Pelodiscus sinensis: one gene and its partners. The protein of the gene in region 1 interacts with the protein of each later gene in a pairwise test. Links are inferred from orthologs where the notes say so. Each region holds a gene or a part of one and is shown in the gene's direction. Other genes may lie near its edges.

Evidence for each region.
Region 2: the proteins of MAPK3 (region 1) and DHPS interact in binary tests that used the Homo sapiens proteins (3 or more experiments, as listed by UniProt). The link is inferred for Pelodiscus sinensis from reciprocal best matches to the Homo sapiens genes MAPK3 and DHPS.
Region 3: the proteins of MAPK3 (region 1) and DCC interact in a two-hybrid assay, tested with the Homo sapiens proteins (2 studies listed by BioGRID). The link is inferred for Pelodiscus sinensis from reciprocal best matches to the Homo sapiens genes MAPK3 and DCC.

What each region holds. Positions count from the first base shown.
Region 1 is NW_027465967.1:94,720-102,672, reverse strand, and holds the start of MAPK3 (mitogen-activated protein kinase 3), read left to right. Parts: upstream 1-4,901; 5' UTR 4,902-5,008; coding exon 5,009-5,163; intron 5,164-5,244; coding exon 5,245-5,427; intron 5,428-5,541; coding exon 5,542-5,731; intron 5,732-7,899; coding exon 7,900-7,953. Other genes in the region: CORO1A (coronin-1A), read right to left, coding at 1,459-1,656.
Region 2 is NC_134729.1:13,363,982-13,371,130, forward strand, and holds the start of DHPS (deoxyhypusine synthase), read left to right. Parts: upstream 1-4,078; 5' UTR 4,079-4,235; intron 4,236-4,608; 5' UTR 4,609-4,613; coding exon 4,614-4,817; intron 4,818-5,389; coding exon 5,390-5,554; intron 5,555-5,793; coding exon 5,794-5,915; intron 5,916-6,336; coding exon 6,337-6,433; intron 6,434-6,873; coding exon 6,874-6,960; intron 6,961-7,149. Other genes in the region: FBXW9 (F-box/WD repeat-containing protein 9), read left to right, coding at 414-503, 1,022-1,087, 1,477-1,551. UniProt on the Homo sapiens protein: Catalyzes the NAD-dependent oxidative cleavage of spermidine and the subsequent transfer of the butylamine moiety of spermidine to the epsilon-amino group of a critical lysine residue of the eIF-5A precursor protein to form the intermediate deoxyhypusine residue.
Region 3 is NC_134716.1:114,103,997-114,110,943, reverse strand, and holds the start of DCC (netrin receptor DCC), read left to right. Parts: upstream 1-3,878; 5' UTR 3,879-4,498; coding exon 4,499-4,589; intron 4,590-6,947. UniProt on the Homo sapiens protein: Receptor for netrin required for axon guidance. Mediates axon attraction of neuronal growth cones in the developing nervous system upon ligand binding. Its association with UNC5 proteins may trigger signaling for axon repulsion.

The sequences.
Region 1 (7,953 bases):
TGCAGTGGTTACAGCAGGGCCGGGAGGGCAGTGGGGTGCAGTGGTTACAGCAGGGCCGGGAGGGCAGTGGGGTGCAGCGGTTACAGCAGGGCCGGGAGGGCAGTGGGGTGCAGCGGTTACAGCAGGGCCGGGAGGGCAGTGGGGTGCAGTGGTTACAGCAGGGCCGGGAGGGCAGTGGGGCGCAGCGGTTACAGCAGGGCCGGGAGGGCAGTGGGGTGCAGCGGTTACAGCAGGGCCGGGAGGGCAGTGGGGTGCAGTGGTTACAGCAGGGCCGGGAGGGCAGTGGGGCGCAGCGGTTACAGCAGGGCCGGGAGGGCAGTGGGGTGCAGCGGTTACAGCAGGGCCGGGAGGGCAGTGGGGCGCAGGGGTTACAGCAGGGCCGGGAGGGCAGTGGGGCGCAGGGGTTAGCGGGCAGCCTAGGTTCTCTCCCAGCTCGGAGGGGGGTAAATGTTTGTAGGGAGTAGAACCCGCAGCTCTCTGCCTCTCCCCAGTGCTGGGGATATTTCCCAGGGGCCAGGGGCCTGGGGCCTGGGGCAGGGCCAGGCTGTGACAAGCAACCCAGCTCCCGTGCCCCTGCAGTGCCCACAGCAGGCGACATGAGCCCCTCCCCCCAGTGGGCAGCCAACCTGAGAGCAGGGCAGTCTGGCAGCAGGGCGGGGGCCGGGCCTGCCTCAGCCCTCCTGGGCACCAGCCTCAGGCCTGGCTCTCCCCTCACGCCCCTCCCGCCTCGTCCCATGGTCCTGCCACGGGGAAAGTTGGGCCCACGAACCCAGCAGTCCCATGACAACCTTACCCGGGCATTGTGCAAAGGGGGCACTGGGGGGCACTGGGGGGGCAGGGGCTGCAGTGGGGGGCGCTGGGGGCAGAGCTGGACCGGCAGGGGCTGGGGGGCGGGTGTGGGGAGTGGGACGGAGGGGGAGGGGCTGAGGCGCTCTGCTCCCGTCTTTCCCATCACGATGGAAGTCACAAGGTGCCGCGTTCTGGGAGCCGAGGGTCCCTCCAAAGCCGCATCCTGCCCCGGCCTCCCCCCGGGCCAGGGAAGGACACAGGGCCCTTTGTAGCTGCACCACAGACCTTTATTCCCCCGGCGCCCCCGCCCCTGCTCCATTTCTGGGGCTCCTGGCTACGGTGACCCAGGTGTGGCTGCCACGGCTCCGAGAACCAGGACGGGGGGCTGGGCTGTGGTGTCCCAGACCTGCCCCCTCCCCGCAAACCCACTTCCCCTTTTACACGGCTGCTTCCGCCCCCGCTTCACGTTTGGAGCCATTTAAGGCAAAAATGTCAAGATCTGCATGTTCGGCGGTTTCACAAAACAGCCCCCCCCCCCCCCCCCGGAAACAGAAAGGGGGGGGCAGACAGTTACCTAAGAAGCGCAGGGCGGGGCTGGCGAGGGGCCCCGGCAGGGCTGGGCCGGCAGAGGGGGGAGGGGGTCACTAGCAGGGATGGGGGCGGGGTTACCTTAGCCAGGGGCAGCACCATGAAGGCCCCTCCCCCACTGGCCTCCACGACAATGGCCAGGAACTTGGGGTTGACGGTGCAGAAGCCGCTGTCCCAGGTGGTCTGCGAGACGCGCACGTCGTCGTAGGACTGGTCGGCCTTCGCCGGCTGCCCGAAGACGTGGCGGAACTTGCTGCTGCGCACCACCTGCCGGCTCATGGCGGCTGGGGGAGACGCGCCGTTAGTGCTGCCCTCGCGCCCGCCGCCGCCTGCCCGGCCGCCGCCCCTCGCGCCCGCCGCCGCCTGCCCGGCCGCCGCCCCTCGCGCCCGCCGCCGCCTGCCCGGCCGCCGCCCCTCGCGCCCGCCGCCGCCCCCTGCCCGGCCGCCGCCCCTCGCGCCCCGCCGTCGCCTGCCCGGCCGCCGCCCCCTGCCCGGCCGCCGCCCCTCGCGCCCGCCGTCGCCTGCCCGGCCGCCGCCCCTCGCGCCCGCCGCCGCCGCCTGCCCGGCCGCCGCCCCCTGCCCGGCCACCGCCCCTCGCGCCCGCCGCCCCCTGCCCGGCCGCCGCCCCTCGCTCCCACCCCCCCCATCCCCCTGCCCGGCCGCTGCCCCTCACTCCAGCCCCGCCACCACTCTGCCCCTCACTCCAGCCCAGCTGCCCTGCCACCCCGTCGCTGCCCCTCACTCCAGCCCGGCCATTGCCCCTCTCTCCCACCCTGCCGCTATCCCTTGCTCCTGCCCCACCACCCTCTGCCTGGCTGCTGCCCTGGCTCTACCTGTAGGTAACTGGGTGTAGCAGCATCACTCTGCAGAGACGGGAAGGGTCAGCCGAGAGGGCCCAGGACCTCCCTCCCTCCCACCCACCGGCCAGAGCAAGAACCCAGGAGCCTGGCTTCCCCCTCCCCCCCCCCGCTCTAACCATCAGACCCCACTGCCCTGCCCAGGGCCAGAACCCAGGAGTCCTGGCTCCCCCCCGCCCCGCTCTAACCATCAGATCCCACTGCCCTGCCCAGGGCCAGAACCCAGGAGTCCTGGCTCCCCCCCGCCCCGCTCTAACCATCAGATCCCACTGCCCTGCCCAGGGCAAGAACCCAGGAGTCCTGGCTCCCCCCCCCCCCCCCGCTCTAACCATCAGACCCCACTGCCTCTGCTCTCACCAGTTCCAGGCACTCTGGTGTGACAGTGAATCTGGAGGCTGAAACCAGCACCTTTTAAGGGTGGGGGTGGGGCCTCCCAGGGATAGCACAGCCTGGGGGGGGAGGGGCCAGGACACTCCCTCCCACTTCCCAGCCAGGGGCTGGGCGGGAATCCGCTGCCAGTGGCAGAGGGGTATGAGCCTGGGCACAGGGACCCCACCCCCCGCCTGTCCCCCCGTGCCCTGCTTGGGCCCATTTAGCTCCCCCCCACCTGCATCCCCTTACACACACCCATCTCCCCATGCCCTGTCTCGGCTCACCTAGATACACCCTCCCACCTCCACCCCCTTACACCCCCACGTGTCCCCCCAGCATCCCCTTACCCCCCCACCAGTCCCCCATGCCCTGCCTGGGACCCCTAACTACCCCCCACCAGCATCCCCTTCCACCCCCCCACCAGTCCCCCATGCCCTGCCTGGGACCCCTAACTACCCCCCACCAGTCCCCCATGCCCTGCCTGGGACCCCTAACTACCCCCCACCAGCATCCCCTTCCACCCCCCCACCTGTCCCCCATGCCCTGCCTGGGACCCCTAACTACCCCCCACCAGCATCCCCTTCCACCCCCCCACCAGTCCCCCATGCCCTGCCTGGGACCCCTAACTACCCCCCACCAGCATCCCCTTCCACCCCCCCACCAGTCCCCCATGCCCTGCCTGGGACCCCTAACTACCCCTCACCAGCATCCCCTTCCACCCCCCCACCTGTCCCCCATGCCCTGCCTGGGACCCCTAACTACCCCCCACCAGCATCCCCTTCCACCCCCCCACCTGTCCCCCATGCCCTGCCTGGGACCCCTAACTACCCCTCACCAGCATCCCCTTCCACCCCCCCACCTGTGCCCCATGCCCTGCCTGGGACCCCTAACTACCCCTCACCAGCATTCCCTTGCACCCCCCCCACCTGTCCCCCATGCCCTGCCTGGGACCCCTAACTCCCCCTCACCAGCATCCCCTTCCACCCCCCCACCTGTCCCCCATGCCCTGCCTGGGACCCCTAACTACCCCTCACCAGCATTCCCTTGCACCCCCCCATCTGTCCCCCATGCCCTGCCTGGGACCCCTAACTACCCCTCACCAGCATCCCCTTCCACCCCCCCACCTGTCCCCCATGCCCTGCCTCGGACCCCTAACTACCCCTCACCAGCATCCCCTTCCACCCCCCCACCTGTCCCCCATGCCCTGCCTGGGACCCCTAACTACCCGTCACCAGCATCCCCTTCCACCCCCCCACCTGTCCCCCATGCCCTGCCTCGGACCCCTAACTACCCCTCACCAGCATCCCCTTCCACCCCCCCACCTGTCCCCCATGCCCTGCCTCGGACCCCTAACTACCCCTCACCAGCATCCCCTTCCACCCCCCCACCTGTCCCCCATGCCCTGCCTGGGACCCCTAACTACCCCTCACCAGCATCCCCTTGCACCCCCCCACCTGTCCCCCATGCCCTGCTTGGGACCCCTAACTACCCCCCACCAGCCCCGGGGCTGAGGCTGGGGGGTGTTGGGAAATCAGACCCGGGGGGCCCTGAGGCTGGGGGGGGGGGAGGGGCCGGGGAATCAGACCCGGGGGGCCTTGAGGCTGGGGGGGGAGGGGCCGGGGAATCAAACCCGGGGGGCCCTGAGGCTGGGGGGGGGAGGGGCCGGGGAATCAGACCCGGGGGGCCCTGAGGCTGGGGGGGGGGCCGGGGAATCAGACCCGGGGGCCCTGAGGCTGGGGGGGGGGGAGGGGCCGGGGAATCAGACCCGGGGGGCCTTGAGGCTGGGGGGGGAGGGGCCGGGGAATCAGACCCGGGGGGCCCTGAGGCTGGGGGGGGGGGAGGGGCCGGGGAATCAGACCCGGGGGGCCCTGAGGCTGCGGGGGGGGGAGGGGCCGGGGAATCAGACCCGGGGGGCCTGAGGCTGGGGGGGGGGAGGGGCCGGGGAATCAGACCCGGGGGGCCCTGAGGCTGGGGGGGGGGAGGGGCCGGGGAATCAGACCCGGGGGGCCCTGAGGCTGGGGGGGGGGGGAGGGGCCGGGGAATCAGACCCGGGGGGCCCTGAGGCTGGGGGGGGGGGCCGGGGAACACCCGGCAAGGTGCCGGCGTGGGCAGGGGCGTGGCCAGGTGGAACAGTGGGCGTGGTCGGAGAGGAGCTCCTCGAGCGAGGGCGTGGCCTAGTACCGTAGACTGGGTCTGGGGGCGGGGCCTAAAGCGGCAGAAGCGAATGACAGGGCACAGCACTTCCGCCTTTCGATGACGTCAGAAGCAGCGCTCCAATCCGGGCGCGTAGCGGATGGCGGCGACGTGACGCGGGCCGTCGGGCAGCCCGTGCGCCTGCGCAGAGCCGTCGGGCGGGGCGGTTCCGGGTGCGGCTGCGGCAGCGGGATCGGAGCGCAGCGGCCATGGCGGCGGCGACAGCGGCGGCCCCGGGGGGGCCCGGGCCGGTGCCGGGGGCGCCCAAGCTGGGGGTGGAGTCGGTGAAGGGGCAGGTGTTCGACGTGGGGCCGCGCTACACGGACCTGCAGTACATCGGGGAGGGGGCGTACGGCATGGTCTGGTGAGCGCCCCCCCGCCGCCCGGGCCCCCCCCCCCGGGGCTGCGGGGCGCGGCGCTAACCCCGCCCCTCCCGTCCCCGCAGCTCCGCCTACGACCACGTGAGCAAGGCGCGCGCGGCCATCAAGAAGATCAGCCCGTTCGAGCACCAGACGTACTGCCAGCGCACGCTGCGCGAGATCAAGATCCTGCTGCGCTTCCGCCACGAGAACATCATCGGCATCAACGACGTGCTGCGCGCCGCCGCCATCGAGCACATGCGCGACGTGTATCCTGCCCCGCCCCTGCGCGCGCCCGCGCCGGCCCCTGCGCGCGCCCGCGCGCCCCGCCCCCCGCGCGCGCCCCGCCCCGCGGCCGTTGTGCCCCTTGACCCCGCCCCCAGCTACATCGTGCAGGACCTGATGGAGACCGACCTGTACAAGCTGCTGAAGACGCAGCAGCTGAGCAACGACCACATCTGCTACTTCCTGTACCAGATCCTGCGCGGCCTCAAGTACATCCACTCGGCCAACGTGCTGCACCGCGACCTCAAGCCCAGCAACCTGCTCATCAACACCACGTGCGACCTCAAGGTGGGCCCGCCCCGCCCCCTCGGCCCCGCCCCGCCCCCGCCCCCTCGGCCCCGCCCCGCCCCCGGCCAGTCCAACGTGCTGCACCGCGACCTCAAGCCCAGCAACCTGCTCATCAACACCACGTGCGACCTCAAGGTGGGCCCGCCCCGCCCCCGCCCCCGCCCCCTCGGCCCCGCCCCCGGCCAGTCCAACGTGCTGCACCGCGACCTCAAGCCCAGCAACCTGCTCATCAACACCACGTGCGACCTCAAGGTGGGCCCGCCCCGCCCCTCGGCCCCGCCCCTCCGCCCCGCCCCTCCCCGCCCCCGGCCAGTCCAACGTGCTGCACCGCGACCTCAAGCCCAGCAACCTGCTCATCAACACCACGTGCGACCTCAAGGTGGGCCCGCCCCGGCCCCGCCCCTCGGCCCCGCCCCCGGCCAGTCCAACGTGCTGCACCGCGACCTCAAGCCCAGCAACCTGCTCATCAACACCACGTGCGACCTCAAGGTGGGCCCGCCCCGCCCCTCGGCCCCGCCCCCGCCCCGCCCCCGCCCCGCCCCCGGCCAGTCCAACGTGCTGCACCGCGACCTCAAGCCCAGCAACCTGCTCATCAACACCACGTGCGACCTCAAGGTGGGCCCGCCCCGGCCCCGCCCCTCGGCCCCGCCCCCTCCGCCCCGCCCCCGGCCAGTCCAACGTGCTGCACCGTGACCTCAAGCCCAGCAACCTGCTCATCAACACCACGTGCGACCTCAAGGTGGGCCCGCCCCGGCCCCGCCCCTCGGCCCTGCCCCCTCCGCCCCGCCCCCGGCCAGTCCAACGTGCTGCACCGCGACCTCAAGCCCAGCAACCTGCTCATCAACACCACGTGCGACCTCAAGGTGGGCCCGCCCCGCCCCCGCCCCCGCCCCTCGGCCCCGCCCCCTCCGCCCCGCCCCCGGCCAGTCCAACGTGCTGCACCGCGACCTCAAGCCCAGCAACCTGCTCATCAACACCACGTGCGACCTCAAGGTGGGCCCGCCCCGCCCCTCGGCCCCGCCCCCGCCCCTCGGCCCCCGCCCCCGGCCAGTCCAACGTGCTGCACCGCGACCTCAAGCCCAGCAACCTGCTCATCAACACCACGTGCGACCTCAAGGTGGGCCCGCCTCGGCCCCGCCCCCTCGGCCCCGCCCCGCCCCCGGCCAGTCCAACGTGCTGCACCGTGACCTCAAGCCCAGCAACCTGCTCATCAACACCACGTGCGACCTCAAGGTGGCCCCGCCCCGGCCCCGCCCCTCGGCCCCGCCCCCTCCGCCCCGCCCCCCGGCCAGTCCAACGTGCTGCACCGTGACCTCAAGCCCAGCAACCTGCTCATCAACACCACGTGCGACCTCAAGGTGGGCCCGCCCCGGCCCCGCCCCTCGGCCCTGCCCCCTCCGCCCCGCCCCCGGCCAGTCCAACGTGCTGCACCGCGACCTCAAGCCCAGCAACCTGCTCATCAACACCACCGTGCGACCTCAAGGTGGGCCCGCCCCGCCCCCTCCGCCCCGCCCCTCCCCGCCCCCGGCCAGTCCAACGTGCTGCACCGCGACCTCAAGCCCAGCAACCTGCTCATCAACACCACGTGCGACCTCAAGGTGGCCCCCGCCCGCCCCGCCCCGGCCCCGCCCCCTCCGCCCCGCCCCCAGCCAGTCCAACGTGCTGCACCGTGACCTCAAGCCCAGCAACCTGCTCATCAACACCACGTGCGACCTCAAGGTGGGCCCGCCCCAGCCCCGCCCCTCGGCCCTGCCCCCTCCGCCCCGCCCCCGGCCAGTCCAACGTGCTGCACCGCGACCTCAAGCCCAGCAACCTGCTCATCAAACACCACGTGCGACCTCAAGGTGGGCCCGCCCTCGGCCCCGCCCCTCTCAGCTCCCACCCCGCCCCTGGTGGCGTGTCCCACCCCCAACCAGCCATAGGCCCCGCCCCCGGCTGCACACCCCCAACCAGCCCTCAGTCATGACCATGCCTCTGACCCCATCCAGCCCTCGGTCACACCCCACCCCGTCCCCAACCAGCCCTCAGCCCTGCTGCACGCACACCCCCGCACTGCGCCCCACCCCCACCGATCCCCCTTCACACCTCCCTGTGTCTCTGCCTCCACTGCTGCGTTCCCTGGGCTCCAGGGGGGCGGGCAGCTCAGCTAACCTTCCTCCCCGCTGCAGATCTGTGACTTTGGGCTGGCTCGCATTGCCGACCCCGAGCACGACCACACCGGC
Region 2 (7,149 bases), on another chromosome or scaffold:
GGAAGGGGTCTCAATGCTCCTTGACCCCCCTCCCTCCCCTCCGCTGAGATGGCAGCTGATGGCACAGTGGGAAGGAGCTGACCTGGCCAGACTTTTTGTGCCTTTAGCCCCCATTTGTCTCGGTTCCCTGTTAGCATGGTAGTACCTCACGGGGGGGAGGGGGATCGTGACAGCTCAGACACTGTGGCGATGTGTCCACATGAATACCTGGTGAGGTACGAGCTGCCACCCTCAGAACCACTTTGGAGAGGGACCTGGAGGGTTGAGGTTGGGATGCGGAGAGTCCCTGGCATGGAGGAGACGGGTTAGGAACAGAGAGATGCTGGGATCCATGTGGGTTTGGAACAGGCAGGCCATGGCTTTCACCCCTGATGGGGCTTGCAGGGGGCTCATGGTCTCCTTCCTCCCCACAGTACTTCAACGTGGGTCACCGGTCCCAGATCACTGGGGTCTGGCACTCCCTGGGCACGCTGTACACGACCTCCACCGACAAGAGCCTGCGGGTAAGATCCAGGCTTGCCTAGCGGCCCTTCTCCACCACTCATGGGAGCCAGGAATGCCTGAGTCCTAACCCCAGCCTTGGGACGCTGGCTACAAGTTACATCCCTGCTCTGTGCCTCAGTTTCCCCACCAGGGGGTAGGGGCAGTGGCCCCTCTCGTTTTTCCATCTGTGTGCAGAATAAATGTTACAAATGCAGAGGCACATGCCGATGTGCACCACCCAAAAAGCCACAGGCTGCCAGCTGTGGGCGCTCTGCTCACCAGCTGGGTGTCACCTGGGCAGCTGTCCCAGGGCTCAGCTTCCAGGGGACACGGGAAGGGGTGATACCTGCTTCCTGCAGGGCTCTGAAGGTGTCTTGGGCCCTTGGTAGCCGGCCCTTGTCCTGGGGTAGCTGCACCAATGCAAACCCCCTAGTGCTGACACCAAAGTACCAGTGCCCCCCCCAAAACAGCACACGGAGAGGCTCCTCTGAGACTCACTAAGCTCTGTGCAACCTCCCCACAAGTCGTCTCTTTCCAGATACACGTTCCCACGGACCCGCCTCGCACTGTCTGCACACGGACACACAACAACGTGCTGAACGGGGTAAGGCAGCCCCGGGCCTCGGAATCGGGGAGGACAAGAGTGTCTGGGCATTGAGCGCCCAGCCACCTTGCGTGCTGTGCTCTAGCCGGGGGGAATCCCCGTCCCTGCACTCTCCCCAAGCCACACCTGGCTGACACGTCCCGTCCTGGCTTCCTTCCTGTGGCCTGGGCCCACGGCCACTCAGCTCCGCCCGGGGGAGCGCTCCCTTCTCCTTGCACACACGGGAGGGCCCCGCAGCCATGCTGAGCACTAGGACACCTTGTGGCTAAACTCGGAGCGGGGGCAGGGTGTACGTAGCAGGAACCCTGGAGCCGGCGCCCCGGGATCCTGGATTGACGTGGCCTCAGTCCCCGGTGCCTGTTCACACCCCCTCTCCCCCTTCCCCCCAGATCAGCGCGGAAGGCAACATTGTGGTAGCTGCTTCCGGGGGCCTGTCCTTGGAAATCTGGAGGCTCAACGCCTGATGGAGGCCTGGATCTGCGGAGCCGTGTGTTGCCGGGGGAGGTGCTGCGCCCGGCGCCCGACTGCCGGCCGGGGGGCCAGAGTTCCGGCGCCCGTTCGTCGGTCATTTGTTCCTTGTTCTTTGGAAGAGGCCCGAGGAGCCGCGAGGTCGAAGTTTCGCTGCCTGAGCTCACCCTGGCCTTGCTGTTCCCAGAGGGGTGGGAGCCCGGCCAGCCTTCCCCCGCCAGGTGCACTGCCTTAGCTCTCTGGCTCACGTTCTTCCCCTCCTGCTCTGGGCTTCTTAGCTGGCTGAACCCTGGCCTGATTCCCAGGCAGCCTTTGCTACTGATCTACCTGCCACGGTGCATGGGCCCTGGCTGCTCCTTCGGGACCTGTTCCAAAGGCCTCTGGGGTCACAGTGCAGGTGGGGCTGGGAGTGAGGGGTCAGTCCGCTGGACGGCGCCGTCGGGGGGCGCTTGCTGCTAAGGGCTGAGGAAGGCAGAGGCAGGGGCTGATCGACTGGCTGTGTAACCTAACGGGACTAAGTTTGACCCACGTGCTTATGTTGTTGATTAAAATATTCTGCCAGACTGGAGCCGAGTAGAGCGCTTGGTGGGTTCGTTATCCCCTTCCCGGTGCAGTCACAGGCACGCCGTGTTGGAAATTCCATCCTGGTCTCCTGGGAGCTCCAGACACGGCGGCTTTCTCCTCTCCCTGCCTCCCCACAGGAATTGCAAGAGCCAGAGTGAAGCACTGGGGGAATGGGCTATGGAGGCTTTATTGGGGGGTGGGGCTGGGCTGTGAACAGGGCCGTGAGCGTTTCACTGACGCCAGTGAGAGGGTCCCTGCGCCACCCGGGGCCGTTTGGACAAACACAGTGTGAGGTTTCGGGTTCTGGCCCAATCCCTGAGGCCCTTCCTGCCTGTGCACAACGAGCTGGCTGGGGCAGGCCCCTTCCCCAGCAGAACCGGCTGCTGTGGCTAACTGGGGTCCCTGCAGTGCGGGGCTGTATGTCTGTCTGCCCTCGCATTGTAGTAACCCTCTGCTTCCCAGCACCCCTCCTGGGAAATATGGGTGGGGAAACTGAGGCACGGGGGCACTGCAGCGACTGTTCCAGGCTGCCACTGACTCCCTGTGCAGACGTGGGCATCCTCCTTCCACCCGAGGGGGGGTTGAGAACAGAATGGGTAACTGAGGCTTCACTTCTGCCCTTCGTGCTCTTCTCCCATGAGGGTTTGCCAGCTGCCAGCCTGGCCCAGCACTGAAGTTCCCTGCAGTCCCTGAGGGATGGTTTCTTTGGGACCCAGAACAATCCCAGGCTGGCCCTTTGCTGTGGACACATGGCCTGGTTCCTTCCCCCCACCCTTGCATATGCCTGGAGCTGATGAAGGATTGCCGTACAGGGGGAGATCCTGGCCTGACCCCTGTCCTAGTGCCTGCCTTGGAGACCTGGGGGGGGTGGTCAAAAGGCAGGTGAGCAAAGTCAGAGGGTGGGCTGGGGAACAGGGACTAGTGGTTGGAGCAAGGGGTGGGAGCCAGGACTTCTGGGGTCCCCTCTCTGGGAAGGAAGTGGGGACTAGTGGTTAGAGCAAGGGAGGCCTTCCTAGAGATGGGTCCAGAACATAGGGGTCCTGCTTCCTAACGCCTGTCCTGGAAGGGGGAAGTAGGGTCTAGTGGCTAGAGCAGGGGCATTCTGGGAATTTGGGACTCCTGGATTCTCCTCCTGTCTTGGGGAGGCCCTGGAGTGTGAGTGCTTGCTGCTCACGTCCTTGCTCTGCCCCCTACTCTCCACTGTCCTTCCAGAGCTGTCAGCAGGGTGCCCCATCCTGGAATGGAGGAAGGGGTCAGGCACCTACTGCCTCCCTATTGCAGAGCTGACTTCACAGCTGTCCCAGGCAGTATCTGTTTTTCTGCTGGGCCCCCTGCCGGGCCCAGTCACCTGTGAAAGGAACATGCCGGCCCGATTTAGCTTCCACCTCCTGGGCAATTAGTGCTCCCTGCAGGACGGCTCCCTCTAATCCGTCCTGTGAACGGGCTGGAGGCCAGAACAGGCTGAACTCTGTGTGCGCCCTGGGCTGCTGCAGGGCTGGAACCCCCCCTCCACCCGCATGGACCAGCTGCCCTGGGCGGGGGTCTCGGGGATGGGACTCCCCACGGGAGCAGCAGCTGCACCTTTTCAGGCCTGTGTGATGCTGGGGAGCAGGGGGAGGTGGGGAGATCTGAGGTGGGCAGCCAGGACGCCGGTCTCGCCCCCATGGGCTGTAGGTTGGGTGAAGAGGGGGCCCTGCCAGTCCCGCACCAGCGGAACTCCCCGCTGCAGGACGACGCGGGGGAAGGCGGGTGGTCTCTATAGCGTTAACCGACGTGCTTTCGCTTATCGGTTAATCGATTCCGGATCCATCCCCGCCCGGGGTCCAGTGCGGGGCTGGCTCGGCTCGGACAGGCTGGTGTTTGAAGGGGCCTGGCGTAGGTGCTGGGCTCTTGGGTCGGAGGACACTTGACCCTGCAGGGCTCCCGTACGTGGCTTCTATTCAAGATGGCGACGCCCACGCATACGGTTCCCGCGCGGCGGCGCTCGAGGGGCAACATGGCGGCGCCCAGGCGTACGGACGCGGTCCTGACCCCGCGGGGCTGCCGTAGCCGGCCGGGCTGAACATGGCGGCGGCCAGGAGCGCGACAGCGGGGCGAGAAGGGCTCTGAGGCGCAGGTAGGAGCCGGGCGGGGCCTGGAGGGAGGGAGCGAGCGAGCGAGCGGGCGGGCGGGCGGGCGGGTTTTGTGGGGGCGGAGGGTTCCGTGGGGGGGTTCGTGTGGAGTTTGGGGGGGCTCGCTGGGGGGGGTTTCGTGGGGAGGTTCGCGGAGGGGGTTGGGGGGGTTCGTGGGGAGTTTGGGGGGGCTCGGGGGGGTTTCGTGGTGAGGTTGGGGGGGCTCGCGGGGGGGGGTTGGGGGGGTTCTCGGGGGGGGTCGTGGGGAGGTTGGTGGGGCTCGCGGGGGGAGGGGTGGCTGGGGGGGTTTCGTGGGGAGGTTCGCGGAGGGGGCTGGGGGGGGTTCGTGGGGGGGCTGACCCCGGCCCGTCTCCGCAGGCCCCATGGAGAGCGCGGCTGAGGGGTTCCCCGCCGCGGCGGTGGCGGCCGTGCTGAAGCCCAGCGCCGTCCTGCCCGAGGAGAGCCTGCGGGTGCGGGGCTACGACTTCGGGCGCGGGCTGGATCACCGGGCGCTGCTCCAGTCCTACCTCACCACCGGCTTCCAGGCCACCAGCTTCGGGCAGGCGGTGCAGGAGATCAACAGGATGGTGAGCGGGGGGGCGCGGGGGCGCCAGGACTCCGGGGCTCCGTGTCGCTCGCCGCAGGCAGGTCACTTCCCCGCTGCGAGGCCAGAGACCTGGGTGGGGGCCGGTGGCCTGGGCGTCTGCGCTCCCCGACCCAGCAGCCGGGCAGGCCCGTCTCTGCCAATACGCAGAACACCCAGCTGAGTGGGGCACCAAATTGCACGGTGCCCATGCAGCTGGGTGCTGCATATGGGCTGTAGCAGCCCCCTCCCCTGGCTGGCCAGCCCCCTAGCCCGTGGCTCTGTGGCAGCTCGGGTCCCATTCCCCAGCCAGGCCCCTGTAGGGTGGGTAGCCAACAGCTGGAGAGAAGCGGCTGTGTGGCTGTTCTTTGCTCCCCGGGCCCATGCCCCTGCGTCTCCCCCACCCTGCCTAGGGCTGCCAGCTCTCCCAACCAGACTCATTTGCAGCAGTGACGTTCGGTCTGGGAGAACTGGCAGCCCTCCCCCTGCCCCCACAGTCCCCTCAGTGCAGGGCTGTGTAGGGCATCAGCATGGATAGGGATGGCCCTGCTGATGTGGGGCTGCTCTGGTTCCCAGATCGCGGCGAAGCTGGAGCCTCTGGGGGAGGAGGAGGAGACCCGTGCAGACCTGAACCCCTGCCGCCGGCAGCCCTCAGGCTGCACCATCTTCCTGGGCTTCACTTCCAATCTCATCAGCTCCGGCATCCGCGAGACCATCCGCTACCTGGTGCAGCACAACATGGTAAGGCCCCTGCCCCCTCCAGGTGCTGAGCCCTGCTCCCGTGTCCCTCTGTGCCCTCTTGACACTAAGCACCTGCATCCAGAGGTGCCCCCGTATGTGTCAGGCTCTGCCACCCAGGCTGCTGTCATGGCCCCCCCATTCCCTTCACCCACCACAGAGCTGGGCTCTCCCACCTGATGAACAGTGGGAGGGCTCCCTGGGGTGGGGTTCTGACAGGCTGGGGTCCCTGTGCCATGCAGGTGGACGTGTTGGTCACGACAGCGGGTGGCGTGGAAGAAGATCTCATCAAATGCCTGGCTCCGACCTACGTGGGGGAGTTCAGCCTGCAAGGGAAGGAGCTTCGGGAGAGCGGGATCAACAGGTACAGGCGGGGCTGGGGTAACAGCTGGGAGGCAGGACTCCTGATTTGGGGGAGAATAGTGGCTAGTGGTTAGAGTCACGGGGGACTAGGAGTCAGGCCTTGTCAGTGCTTTAGGAGGAGAGTGCAGTCTAGTGGTTAGAGCAGGGGAGCCAGGACTCTCCTGGGTTCTGTCCCTGCTCTGGGAGTGGGGCCCAGGAATGAGAGGGGGAGGCTGGGCTCAGGAAATGATGCTCTAGAAGTGAAAGACGCTGTATTTGTTCTCAGCCCCTGGATCCATCCAGCCATGATCCTCTTTGTGCCCCCCCCCCCTGGGGATCAGGAAATGCCAGTGGTGTCCCTGTTCCTTGGGGTGGGAGGAGGGGCTGAGCCCAGCTGGGCTGGGGGGGGGGAGGGCTGGGGATGAACCTGCTCCTGTCTCCAGGATCGGGAACCTGCTGGTGCCCAACGACAACTACTGCAAGTTCGAAGACTGGCTTATGCCCATCCTGGACCAGATGGTCGCCGAGCAGAACATGGAGGTGAGGGCGGGGGGGGGAGGGGCTGCGGCTGTAGGACACTGGGAAGGTCTCTGACCTGATCCCTACTCAACCCCCTGCCAAAATACCTGGCATGTGCAGATGGGTGGAGGAAGGGGGCTGGGAGTCAGGGCTCCTGGGCTCTGGGAATGGAGTGTAGGGGAGGGGGGGTGTCCAGTGGGTTGAGCAGAAGGTGGGTGGGTGGGACACCAGGAATCAGGACTCTTGGGTCTTATACCTTGGGTGAGGCACATCCCTCTGTGACTCGGTTTCCCCATCTGCACCATAATGGGGAGAGCTGCCAGGTGGGGAGCTGTGAGGGTGGGCACCTTAACGTTGATAACGCCCCGCGGGCCCCAAGTCTCTGAGCTGGGGGGCAGGGCAGGGCTCGGGTCACTGCAGGGGGGCGCTTTCACTGCAGCTTTGGCCCTTGGGCCCTGCAGGGGGTGAAGTGGACCCCGTCCAAGATGATCGCACGGCTGGGCAAGGAAATGAACAACCCCGAATCGGTCTATTACTGGGCACAGAAGGTCAGTGGAGGGGGGTGGTCCTGTGCTTCAAGGGCGCTTCTGTTCATTCCCCCCAGGGTCCGGGCTAACCATGCCCAGGGTACAGCCTGGCTTAGCTGAACCCCCCCCCCCCCCCCGAGTGCCCCTCTAAAAGAGCCTGGCTGATGGGCTGCTTGGAGCGCTGCCCCTTTAAGAGCAGGCTAGATACTG
Region 3 (6,947 bases), on another chromosome or scaffold:
GAGCCTGGAGAGATGGGGAAAGAGGTAAATTTGTGAATCATCCACAGAAAGAGTGCATTAAAGTAATGGGAATGGGAGAAGTCCCCAAGAAAGTGGGAGGAGAGGAGGGAAGAAAAGGAAGGAGTTTTGAAGGATGTCAGCAGGTAAAGGGAGAGAAAAATTATCACACAGTTCAGTCCATAAGGTGGTTGGGTAGGGAGGGATCCAAGCAAGAATAGGGTCATGCAAGCCAAGAGAAAAGACCAAGAAGGAATTCAATGATCAGCAGTGTCAAAGGCATCAGACAGAGAAAGGAGAAAGAACAGAAAGGTGCTTTGACTTGGCTTGGTTTCATGGAATGGAAAGTGGAAGTTGGATGGGAGAGGTTCCAGTGCAGAATGGGACATAAGCAAGTTAAGATGTAATTTTTGGTGAATGCCACTGTTTTATATTATTTTTGAATTCATGATAAAATGTTTAATACATTGATTATATGGGAAGTCTTCCAGATCCAGGCTCTCCCCAATACTGATGCATAGAGTATATATTTTAGTAGTCGTGCTTGTGACAGAGAAAAGACAGAACTCTGATGTAACACACACTGAGTGGATTCCTTTTTGAGCATATTGTACACCCACAAATCCTGTGGCTCCTACACTCCCCCTCTTGGAGACTGAGGACTGTGTTCTGGGCTACACGGTGTCACCAGGCATGGTCTACTATTGTCCTGGCCTGGGCTAAGTAATCATGGAATAGATTGCTGCATTTTTTTTTAAAGACTGGTTAGTTATTACATTTCACCCTATCAACAAACTGTTCAAACAAAGAGAAACATTAAGGTCTGAAACTGTACTAGCCCCAGCTCATGAAAAAGCTGATAGAAAAGTCTAACCCAGACAAGCCATCACTGACAGAATTTTGCAGCAAAGATTTTTAAGGTTGTATCTGAAGTTCCTGCCTTCATCTATGGGACTTGGGAGTCCTATGAGAATTTCACTCAGGCAAAGACTTTGTAAGACATGAGGGTTGCTCTCTATTCTTCTCAGGAAGTGCTCTCCTATTCAACGAACAGCCACCAGAAAGGGATGTGCGAATGTCAGATTGAAGGACAACACCTCCCTGCAGCTTTGTTCATTGTAATTTTAATTAATGGATATATCCCATTCTGGTGTGGGTCTTCAACACAAGTCCCTATAGTCCAGTGCTACCAGCTGAACTAGACTGCTAGTAATAGTAGGGATCCAGGCTCCCCCACTGATAAGCACATGTCTTCATATAGCTAGTTCATTTGCTTTGCCATGTTGTTGTAACTGTCCTTTTTGGGGATAAGAGACAAGATGGGTTGGAGTTGTTGCTGTTGTTGTTAAAGTCTGATCCCATTTCCTAGAAGACAAAACAAGACAAACACAAAAGAAGGTAGAAAAAATAGAGGGAGAAAAGGCACTTCTGTTTTTTATGTCAACTCTTACTTACAACCTTGCTGCTAGAAAAATACAGGCACAAGACATGGTCTAGTTATTCCAAGACTTGGCAAACTTGGTCCAGCATGTGCTTGTTTAAGATGTTGCTTTTAGTTCTCTCCATGTTCACAGGCTTACGGCAGCGTTGCAAAATATACTTTGGCCAAAAAAACCCCAACAAATGGTCTGGTAGCACTTTATAGACTAACAAAACATGTAGATGGGATCATGAGCTTTCGTGGGCACAGCCCACTTCTTCAGATGACTGGAGTTCTCTGAAGAAGTGGGCTGTGCCCATGAAAGCTCATGATCCCATCTACATGTTTTGTTAGTCTATAAAGTGCTACCAGACCATTTGTTGTTTTTTTCTCTAACAGACTAACTTGGCTATCCCATGAATACTTTGGCCAGTTAGACTTCTATAAGACAGAAGTTAAGAGGAGAGGAACAGGGAAAAGAAACAGATAAAACAAGGTGGAGAATGTAAAGGACACGTGATAGAGGGATGCCGGTTACACATGCCAGAAGGTATTTGCCATTTAGCCACAGACACTGGGTCCTCCTCTCTGCCCTGGTCTGGTCAGAACATCTCTCAGAATCAAGATATTGAAGGTAGAGCAGTGTCATGGTGGATCCCAAGGAAACAGTGGAGGTGGCAGTCATGTTTCCCTTTCTTTCAATCAGCTAATGCCTCTTGGCTCCCTAAAATTTCTTTTTGTGGCACACTAGCTCACTGGTAAATCCACCAACTAGGCCACATTTCTGACACGTACATTTTGGTCACACTTTTTAATTTTTTTTTTTTTGGTTACCAAGCATGGTTTTAGCACAGTTGTTGGGTTGCATTAGAGGGCCTTTCTGTTTTGGACTCATTTAGGGCAAGCCTTACACCGCTACATCAGCGCAGATGCACTGATGCAGCTGTGCTGTTATAGCATTTCTGGTGAAGGTGCATTGTACCGTGGACTAGTGACTCCACCTCATCGAGAGTGTTTCCCACTGATGCAGCATTGGTGTGAATAGCACAAAACTTGCATCACTTGAGGGAAACTTGCATTACATCCCTGAGCAGCATATATTAGATCTACTTAAGCAGTAGTATAGACCTGCTCCTAGGCTTGCTGACAGGGGGGTGGGGAATGGGGCAGTTGCTCCAGAGCCTGGTGATTTAAGGGGGTTTGGGGCTCTGAACGCTGTTTCTGACACAGTAGCAGTGGTAGTGGGCAGAGTCCCAGATCCTCTAAATTGCTGCCGAAGCACCGTGCTACATCCTTTGGATAGCACTAAGGGCTGTGGGGGTGCACACCATGCTCCTGGCAGTGCTAAGGGTTGCCTGGGACTGGCGTGGTACACTCCGGGAGGCTCTGAGGGCTGGCCGTCCTTGGCCCTACCCCTTCTAGAATCCCAGATCCCCCTGCCTTGTCCAGAGGTCCTAGATTTTTAAAAAATTTTTTGCACCTTTTCCCATCAGCATTTATTATTATATGCGATTGGAGCATTTTGTAAACTTTTATTCACTTTTTTACAATTGACCTTACAGTTAGGGTAAGTTTTTAATCCTGATTATTGTAAGAGTCCTTATGAGTCAGAAGTGTCTACATGCTTTATCGCAACTTTTGTGACCTTTTTTTCTTACTGTATCGAAGGACAAAACTGTAATCCCCACCGATGATGATGATGAAGTATGGCAGTGCACTGCTCTGCTGGATGCCAAATAAAAGCAAGAAGAACAAGGCAGCCTAAAGATGCTGTGGACTAGTGTGAGAAAACTGGACATTTAATACATCCTACAACAGGATGAGTATTGCAAAATAAAAAGAATATGACGAGGATAAGACCAGTGTTGCCATCTCATGAGTTTATCGTAAGCTTCCTAATATTTGGTATTTATCATAAAGCTCCCATAGTCATGTTCTGTGGAAGTCTCAGCATTCATTTTAAAAAGTAAATTTCTTGCCCTCAAGATAGTTGAGGAAAACATGGAAAATTGGTCCCTAAAGATTCAAACTTCAGAAGATAAATGAAAATAACTCATTTAAAAAAAATCCCATGATTTTAAAGACTAGCTTATAATGATTGGTATCTGACTCCTGATTTTTGAATTCTTGGAGTTGGCAGGGTGGTGAGATGCAAAAATTAAAGCTGATCAGCTTAAAAAGCAGCTTTCACTGTAGAGCAGACTCCCAGGACAGAAGAAACAAACCAAAACACCCGATGCAAACCACAACTGGGGAGCTTTACAATGATAGGAGGTGAGCTAGCTACAGAAGCAGGGACATGCACTGTATTTAAAAGATTCATTGAGGAAAAGTTATTTCCCACGCTCTACCTACAGAGGGCATCCCAGCTCATTCATATTGTAGATTCAGTGCATGCAGCTGCTGGAAGCAGCAGGGCTCAGGGCTTTTTTTTTTTTTTTTTTTTTCCAGTGGAATCTTTTCCGTGATCCCGTTGGTTTCTCTCCGCTCTCCACGTTTTCCCTTCCAGCCCTCCACTTCTTCGGATCAATGGATGTTACAGCTCTAACTCCCATCTCACATATTGCTGGTGGACAGCTCCAGTAACAAGTGAGAGCGTTACATGCCCCTTTTCTTTCCCCTTCTTCTTTCCCTCCCCACCAACATCTGCCAAGAAGGAGGAAAATAACAAGCTTTCCCCTTTTGTATTCTTCTGATTGTTTTTATTTTTATGACCATATCTATATTTTGTACTTTGTCCAGCAGTGGAAATGGAGCAACCCCCAATCTTTTGATGCACTCTGGTTTGCTTTTTTGCAGTATTTTTTCAATATATGGTTTTCCAGCCGTGGGAACACTGTTCCCCACCTTTCCCCCTTTTTCCTTGAGTTAGTTTCTCCTAACATCATCTGGAGGTTTGGTGGCACTTGGACTGAATATAACTTTTCCCCTTCCGCATCCCCTAACTCCCCCTTTTGCTGAGCCTTGCCGGTGGGGACTAGAGGAAAAAAAAAAAACAGAAGAGGAGGCGGCAGAAAGGGGCTGTGTGTGTGATTGTTGCTGGTGCTCAGGACCCAAATCTCTGTAGGTGTGTGTTGAAATATGGAGAATAGTCTTGGATGTGCTTGGGTACCAAAGCTGGCTGTTCTACTCTTCGGGTTTTCTCTGATCAGCCTGAATCTTCAAGTCACCGGTAAGTCATCACTGTCTTATTTGTCTTTTGCACTCCCTGAATAAGGGTGAGTTTTGCAAACCCTAAGAAATGTGCTTCTCTCGTCTGTGTTATCAGAATTTCCCTTCCTTTTGATTTTGTTGTTGTTGTGGATCAGTGTAGGCATTTGCAGGCACTTGATGTAGATTTGAAAAGGAGTGAGATCAAATTTGGTTTAGAGGCACCCTGAGCTGCCTGTGAAATAGGAAAACTAACTGAAAGGAAAGAACCCCCCACAAAATAAAGGAAAAATGTGGGAGGAGGTGCTGATAGCATGTGTGTGTGTGTGTGTATGTACACACTGGTTTGTATTCTCTTTGCACCTGACCACTGTTTCAACTGGATTTATTTTCATGTAGCTTTTTTTTTTATCTTTAGGCTGAGATGGGATATATAGTTTTATTTATATTTTTTCAGATGGTAGGGGACGGGCAAATAATGAAAAGAGAAATATTAGTTTGCAAGATGGAAAATGCAGTTATTTGCAGAGTGTCTCCAAACTCCATTTGATTGATATTCTTTCGGGCTGCCTCGCTCTCTTTGCACTTGGCAGGCACATTTTCTGATTAAAAATGGCAAAGCTGGTGTGTGTATTGAATTAGGATACAGAAGGAAAGAGGGGGGATTGATATTGTGATGCTCAGGAGCTGCCTGTGGTAGAGGCAGGGAAGACCTGGGAATTAAGAGAGATTTTGTAAAAATATAATCAGGAAATTGGAGTATTATTGAGAAGTGTTAGAAACTAAGCAAGTGAAGCTTTGATTTGTAGGTGACTCTGTAGGGTGTGTGTGTGAGAGAGAGTACAATGCATGTGAGAAAATATTATTCTCCAGTGATCATTTTTTTTCCTCCAGAAGAAAACGAGCTGTGTTTCATTAGGAGAAATCTTAGTAAGAGAGACTCATGGAAAACAAAAATAAATAAAAATAAACATACACACATTGCTTCTACACCAGCTGCTGCTGAACAATAGAAACCGATAGGTCCCCCCACCCCCTACACACAGACACACGCCACTAAAGCAGGAGTGTGTGTGTGTGTGTGTGTGTGTGTGTGTGTGTGTGTGTGTGTGTGTGTGTGATAAAGTGCTGCATATCAAAGCCTTTGGGAAAAGATCTTTACCTTAGACTGGTATCATTCAGAATATAAGCTGCATTCAAATAGAAATACCTTAAATTGTTCATATAGATGATGCTTCCTTTCAAATATATATTTTTGGATTTTTTTGGGTTGGGAATAAGTGAATTGGGAAGGCTTTTCTGCTAAATACAAGAAGATTCATATTGTGTGTGTGTGTGCGTGTGTCCCATACATGTCCTTTGCAATTACTTGCATGGAAGGTGGGACTTGGGAAATCAGAGCAGGATAATAGGTGTCTCTCTTGAATTTCCAACTTAAAGGATAGTAGATGGGAGACATCTCAGTGATCCTCCTTTTGGCACGATGATTGGCTTGCAGACCTCTTTGCTGACATATGGCAATTTGGGTCCTGTGTGCAACCGTGTGTGTGTATGTATGTGTGCAAGAGAGAGAGGAGGAGAGTGAGGATACACACTGCCTCAATGATGTGTGTTTGTGTGTGTGTGTGTGTGGTGTGGGATTATGATGTTGTCTGATTATACACAGAGAACTCATTACAGGAGCAAATTGTTTCCTAGCTGTACATTTGGGTTGTGCATTTCACTCTTTATTTATAATGTGTCTAATACTTTGGAGGCATATATTTGTGTGTCTTATCAAGTTCCCTGATCTGATCTTTGCAAGCTAGAATTGTGCAAAGTTTCCCCTGTGATTAGCCTATAGATCCTTCTTGAGGTGGTTGTTTTAAGCCCCCCTTTCACAATCTGGATTCACTGACAAAGTAAAATAGATCTTGCATCTTTAAGGAAATGTTGTTCGAGTGTCTTTGGCCCCTGCTCATTAATCTCTGGGTTTCCACTACTCTCCTTAGTCGCTATTTTCTCTCTTCAGAAACCTAGCAGGGGACTGATAGTGAAGAAAGCATAATTCACTCTATGAAAGGACCAGTAGGAGGTGCCCTTAATAAGGCCAAGTAGCTGGTTTGCTGTTTGGCAAAATTCCCGTTCGGCAGGGCATTTAAAGACTTTGTTGACCGGTAACAAAGGGCTTATAGAGATGCAACACAATGTGACTGTGTCTTTTCGCACTTTCTAAGTAAATCCCAAAGCTGGTTTGTAGATGTAAGAATTTGTTAAAAACTTTAACAACAAAGAGCAGTGTTGCACAGTGTCAACAATGAGGAGGAATATGCTAGTTTTGTGCCTGAATGAAGTCATTCAAGTCCTTTCCATTCACATTTCCATTGTCTGCAGGATGCAA